Linked DNA regions of Tribolium castaneum. The protein of the gene in region 1 interacts with the protein of each later gene in a pairwise test. Links are inferred from orthologs where the notes say so. Each region holds a gene or a part of one and is shown on either strand. Other genes may lie near its edges.

Region 1 (4,076 bases):
CATTCAAATTTTGTAACAAATTCATAAACATTTCATCAGTTTTGATAAATCCTTGAGCGGAAGATTTGATTATTTTACATTTTTTAGGAGAACCTATATTTAGAATGGAATTTTCTAAATTTACTTGACATATAATTGGTAAAACACAAATTAATGCTGAATAATTGAAAAAATTGTTTATCAGACAAATCTTTTTTTTTTCTCATTGATGAGCAAATACCGCATATTCATGGAGGCCCGGAGACTAAATCTGCCTAAGAAATAAAAAGTATTACTGTCTAGTTATAAATAATTAGATATTTTTTGTGTCTTTTTCGCAAAAAATTGCCTATTTTAATGTCTCCTTCCATAATATTCCTTCAATAATTTTTAACACAGTTTAACACTGAAAAAAAAACATCAGCTAATGCATTCGCACCCCGAATCTAGTACACCAAATTTCCGCAATTTTTTTTTGATTTCCTAATGATTTTTTCTGATTTTTCTATATCTTTCAGTTTTAGTATTTATTGAACAGACGGTATAAAAAAGTTTTTGTTCAGTCTACGTCAAGGATTTCTCCACTTTGTGATTTGTTTGAGTTTGCTTTCTTGATGTAATGTAAAATTTGCTATTTGAATAATAAATTTCTGGTCCATATAGAGAGGAAAATCTCCAGACTTAAAAGTAAATTGCTATCAGATCAATACGTTATTTATTTAGTTCCAATTTTTGATAATAACACCTAAAATAAAAGATCTAGCTCAAAATTATCTTTAATTTCACGATCTTAGCAAAGACGAAAGCAGTGTTTTTTAGATAGCAGTTAGTTTGGAAATTATTTTTTCTAATTAGTTTTTTGTCTTGCAGCGTAAAAATTTAAAAAGAAACTAAAGCATCAAATTGAAATGTATTTAGTACGATATAATAAAAATTAATTTGTTTTTTCCCTGTTAGAATTATTTTTCTGATTAGCAGTAAAATTTACTAACACACTCGGAGCCAGTTTCAGAATCAGAACTGGATTATGATTCAGGAATCTCTCGTATTTGGAGTAAAAATGTGATGAAATAAAACCACAAAAATGAACTGTTTCCAAATACATGTATTCAAAACAATCGAATAATAAATACATAATACAATTCACACTTGCAAACATTTATCTACAAATATGAGAGTTGGTGACAGAAAAGTGGAAAAATGTAATAAGTCGTGCACATGGTGCGCGCCGCCGCCACTTGTTGCTCCCTCGTTTCCTCCCCTGGGCAAGCAGGCGGCGCACCAGGTGGTGGTCCCTTCCGTCGTCGTCGGCGTCGCTGCATCTGCAGGTGCACTCACCTGTCGGAGAGCGAGCCTCGGCTTCGCTGTGGCAGCGCTGCTGCTTCACTTAGACATTCCCCGCCGGGAGTTTTTTTGGATCGTAAAGGCTACGGTCGTACCTCAGTCGATTGGTGGCTGCCTTGGCTACTTGCAACGCGCTCGCAGAGGTCCTTCAAGTCCTGTCTCTTGACTGACGACGACGCACTACGTCTCGGAACGAAAGTGATGTAACACCAGCGATGCCTTCATTCAACAGCAACACGAAACTGGTGAGTCCGAAATTTACTATTTTCGAAAATTTCAATTCCCGCCAAAATTCACACTTTGATCAACAACAACTAATCTTACCGACACCAAGGTCAAAAAATATACAGATTTGATTACTAGACAGCGGATTTTTCGGAAGTGGCGAGAAAGTGGGGTAATTTGGGGTACGTTTTTTATTAATTCCGACTGCAGGAAAAATAAAAACATTATTTTTATTGCAATAAAGTTACAAAAATTTTAAATTCTGTATTGAATATAAATATTGTTCTAAAGTTGAAGTTGGAAATTAGTTCGGTTTTCATTTCTTCTAGAAAATGAACTCACTGTATGCAGTTATTTTCAGTTAATTTTTATATTTAAATTTTTTTTCTAACCAACTGCTCAAATATTTTTTCAAAAATTTACACTTTATTCACTAACTAAATAATTTCAACCAACAAGTGACAGACCTAGATTTGCAAAAATTTTCAAATAACCCAGTTCCCAGATTTTTTTAAGAATTTTTTTCATTTTACATTTACAGTCCGGTGATAACTAGAGACCGGCACTTAAAAAACTCGGATTAAATTTCTTTCGTTAAAATTGTAAATATTTAACGCCCTTTTTATTTTTCCTAGATTCCTAAAGTGACTTGTATCCCAAATGTGTCTTAAACATACTGAAGCTTTTTTTAATATATTTTTTCAATTTTTTCGTTAGTAATTAGTTTAAAAACATAGATTTGAATTTTCAATTTAATAGTTTTTTGGTTTTTCATCAGAAGATTTTTTGTTTTTAAGGCTTCCAGTCTTTCAATCACAGTTTTTAGGTTTCTCAGTATTTCAGCTTAATTTTTCTATTTTTTTTCTGTTTTTCAATTTCTTAATGTTCTTACTTTGCATTTCTATAATGTTTTAACTTATGACTCTACAAAATTTTTAATCTCATTGTTTTTTTGGATTTTTTGTATTTCAGTTTTTAAATTTTTTCAATCTCTTAGTATAATGTAGTGCAATGTTTCAAATTATTAGTGTTTCTTTTGTCCAGTTCTAGTCTTCTCAGTTTCTCAGCTTATTTAGTTAGTTAGAACTGACTTTATTTTCGTTTTTGATGAGTTCGTTATAACCGGACTCACTGTATTTTTATTTTTAATTGACTTTTATACTCAGATTTTTTTGTATAGTTTGCAAAAATTTTCAAATAACCCAGTTCCCAGATTTTAAGTTTTTTTTTTAATTTTTTTCATTTTACCTTTACAGTCCGGTTATAACTAAAGACCGGCACTTAAAAAACTCGGATTAAATTTGTTTCGTTAAAAATGTAAATATTTAACGCCCTTTTTATTTTTCCTACATTCCTAAAGTGACTTGTATCCTAAATGTGTCTTAAACATACTGAAGTTTTTTTTAATATATTTTTAAAATTTTTTCATTAGTAATTAGTTTAAATCACTAGATTTGATTTTTCAATTTAATAGTTTTTTGGTTTTTCATCAGAAGATTTTTTGCTTTTAAGGCTTCCATTCTTTCGATCACACAGTTTTTAGGTTTCTCAGTATTTCAGCTCAATTTTTCTATTTTTTTTTCTGTTTTTCAATTTCTTAATGTTCTTACTTTGCATTTCTATAATGTTTTAACTTATGACCCTACAAAATTTTTAATCTCACTGTTTTTTTTGGATTTTTTGTATTTCAGTTTTTAAATTTTTTCAATCTCTTAGTATAATGTAGTGCAATGTTTCAAATTATTAGTGTTTCTTTTGTCCAGTTCTAGTCTTGTCAGTTTCTCAGCTTATTTAGTTAGTTAGAACTGACTTTGATTTATTTTCGTTTTTGAAGAGTTCGTTATCACCGGACTCACTGTATTTTTATTTTTATTTGACTTTTATACTCAGATTTTTTTTGTATAGTTTGCAAAAATTTTCAAATAACCCAGTTCCCAGATTTTAAGTTTTTTTTTTTTAATTTTTTTCATTTTACCTTTACAGTCCGGTTATAACTAAAGACCGGCACTGAAAAAACTCGGATTAAATTTGTTTCGTTAAAAATGTAAATATTTAACGCCCTTTTTATTTTTCCTAGATTCCTAAATTGACTTGTATCCTAAATGTGTCTTAAACATACTGAAGTTTTTTTTAATATATTTTTTAAATTTTTTCATTAGTAATTAGTTTAAAAACACTAGATTTGATTTTTCAATTTAATAGTTTTTTGGTTTTTCATCAGAAGATTTTTTGCTTTTAAGGCTTCCATTCTTTCAATCACACAGTTTTTAGGTTTCTCAGTATTTCAGCTTAATTTTCCAATTTTTTTTTTCAGTTTTTCAATTTCTTGATAGTGTCTATAGTGTTTTAGCTTATGACTACAAAATTTTTAATCTCACTGTTTTTTTTTTTGTATTTCAGTTTTAAAATTTTTTCAATCTCTTAGTATAATGTAGTGTAATGTTTCAAATTATTAGTGTTTCTTTTGTCCAGTTCTAGTCTTGTCTTGTCTCAGCTTAGTTAGTTAGAACTGATTTTGATTCTTTTTC
Region 2 (2,798 bases), on another chromosome or scaffold:
ACAAACATTTTATGGCAAAGTTAACAGCATTTCAAGGCTTATTTTTGTATCTCATGAATAATCATTATACATGGAAAGTTTTACCTGAATCGGTTTGGGGCTCTTTTCAAGCGCCAGCGTGAAATTCTGATACAGAAAAGCGCCCCCATTTGAGAAACAATGCACAATAATCGGGTGATTCTCAAAATTTAAATCAACCAAAAGCTTAACGAGTCGTTCTCCAATCGTGATCATCTGCAGTCGCTTCCAAAAGAGGCATTTCACCGGAGCGGTGTATCTCAAAGTTATCAAACTGTTAAAAAAAATGGAAATTGAAATTTTGTAAAAATCAAAAAATTATTCTCACCCTCGGTCTTCGTAAATTTGCGAATATTTGGCCAAATACTTATCCTGACATCCGGCCCAACCGAAAAGTAGGATAACGGGGATTTTTTCTTCATTGACGACAAAAACGTAGTCACTTTCTCCGGTGCCATTCGGTTGGCTGTAGTTAAAATTTGGACTGGGAAATTTGATGTAATATTCGAGATTGTCGAGATCGGCGGCACCGGCCATTTTTCAAAAACGGTGCGCATCGATCGATAAATGAACGTGGATGACGGCGCCGAAGCTGAGTGACGTGGGGGACGACGTCAGTGACAATTTGTGTATTGTTGGTTACATATACTTTCCCAAATTTAAACGATTTCTCGACTAACTCAAGCGCTTTTCAAACAGTTCTAGATTAAATTGTTATGCATTACTCATATCAGTGGAGTTTTTTCAATAATAATCTAAATGATTGCATATACATTAGCAAGTTTTTGGCCATTGCAAACAATTTATTACGATTTCTAAAAAACTTTAGTCCTGTTGTGATTTAGTTTCACCAAGGACAAGTGTTTATTGCAAAAATCGTAAAATACTTAAACATAGATTAAAATACAATTATTTCACTACATAGATAAGAGATAAGCGCGTCTGATCTCAACTCAAATCCGCTGAGTAAATAATGAGTAATGTAAATAATGAAATTCTCACTTTTTTTCGTAATAATTACAATACCACGTGACCGATAATAAGTCACGTGTGCCTTTATTCGAAGGTTGCTTGATAAAATTCCGCTTTTATTGATTTCATAAAAATAAAAAATCACTCTAACCGAATTATTTTCGTGATTTATTCACCAAATTCTCAAAATTGATGATTGAATTGAACACTGACGTAAAAATTTAATTTTGGTCACGACATGACTAAGACCAAGCCTTGGGTCAGGTGTGACAATTGCGCCGAATTGCGAAAAACACGGCAAAAGTGGCGCCAGGAAGACACCCCGGACTTTTCCAGGCGTGGAAACTGTCCAACAAAAGGTCTTCTTTTACAATTTTGATAAAATCGCTCACATGGTCCGACCTGTATCACTCAACCCTTGACCTTGGACCCACCAATCGTAGCAAAGTTTAGGTGACGCATGCGCATTTAAATAACAAAGTGGCATTGTGTCAAGTCATTTGTACGAGTGTTGTCGTCCATCTTCAAATCATTCCTTTCTGTTGCCCATTTCGGCGGAAAAAGACCCATCAAACAGCGGAGGCCCATCGTAACCTTACCATGGTCACCCACATCAACGATAAGGTAAGGCCCATGTGGGCGTGGCACATTTTCCGGAAACGCAATAGATTTTTGACAGATCGTGACCTTCGATTAGCCGGAACAAAAAATTTAATATACAGAGTGTTTGTTTCACAGGCCGACCTTGTGTCGAAGCTCACCGATGCCGGCGACCAACTTGTCGTCATCGACTTCTTCGCTACTTGGTGCGGGCCATGTAAAATGATTTCGCCGAAATTGGAAGAGTTGGCTCAGGAATTCCAAAACGTGCACATTTTCAAGGTAGGCGGCTGTGTGTGTGTATCTATTTGACGTTTGTTTTGTCAACGTGTTTTGTTTTAGGTGGATGTGGACGAATGCGAAGATATCGCGATGGAATATAATATTTCGTCAATGCCTACTTTTGTTTTCGTGAAGAATAGTCAAACGATCACGCAGTTCAGCGGCGCCAACTATGAAAAGCTCAGACAGTTGGTAGTGGAGAACAAGTAGATTGTTTCGTTTTCTTTAATTTTTTCATGTACTTTTAACACAAATATTTGCAAAAAAAAATTGTAATCCGAGCATTTTTCTTGATTCAATGCGTAGGTTCTGTTATTTTTTATATTAATTGTATTTGAAAGCGTGAATTGTTGTATATTTTGAGATTCACCAAGTAGCGCCTTAAATGATGTAAAAGCAAAATAAAGTCATTAAAACGTAACAAAACTGCGTTTTTTTAAATCAAAAAAACAATTTATTTTACACAATCACAAAAAAATAAAACAATATTGCAATAATACATGATATTTACGCTAAAACTAGTATTTGTTCATTTATATTTTTAATTCTATAAAATAATAAAAATTTGTCAAACAAGAAAAATATTTTACAATACGATAAAAGTCTAATCTACACATTATACAATTTATTGGACGGACGAGAAAATTAAGTACATTATATGAGTCATAATCTAAAAACGCTACAATATTTTTTTGGTGCTTTTTCATTTTACACTAACTAGAAAAGTGTTCAAATCTTTCAGATACAGGTACTTCTACAACTAGGTGATGCTGTAGTAACATCGAACACTTTGATAAAACAATTAAAAAAATATAATATTTAAAAAAAAACACGTAAATAAATAAATGTCATGCATTTCTTGTTCTTAGTTTCCTTTTTTTGAGTAGTACGTATCGTTTATTCATCACAGTGCCGGTAGAAATGGA

What was found. The genes of interacting proteins can lie anywhere in the genome.
Region 2: the proteins of follistatin (region 1) and Trx2 interact in binary tests that used the Homo sapiens proteins (3 or more experiments, as listed by UniProt). The link is inferred for Tribolium castaneum from reciprocal best matches to the Homo sapiens genes FST and TXN.

The regions. Positions count from the first base shown.
Region 1 is NC_087396.1:21,200,822-21,204,897, forward strand, and holds the start of follistatin, read left to right. Parts: upstream 1-1,276; 5' UTR 1,277-1,568; intron 1,569-4,076. UniProt on the Homo sapiens protein: Multifunctional regulatory protein whose primary function is to antagonize members of the transforming growth factor beta (TGF-beta) superfamily including activin, myostatin, GDF11 or bone morphogenetic proteins (BMPs).
Region 2 is NC_087401.1:17,531,617-17,534,414, reverse strand, and holds Trx2 (thioredoxin-2), read left to right. Parts: upstream 1-1,452; 5' UTR 1,453-1,590; coding exon 1,591-1,614; intron 1,615-1,728; coding exon 1,729-1,872; intron 1,873-1,932; coding exon 1,933-2,082; 3' UTR 2,083-2,298; downstream 2,299-2,798. Other genes in the region: transmembrane protein 53, read right to left, coding at 85-292, 347-555; myelin regulatory factor, read right to left, coding at 2,770-2,798. UniProt on the Homo sapiens protein: Participates in various redox reactions through the reversible oxidation of its active center dithiol to a disulfide and catalyzes dithiol-disulfide exchange reactions.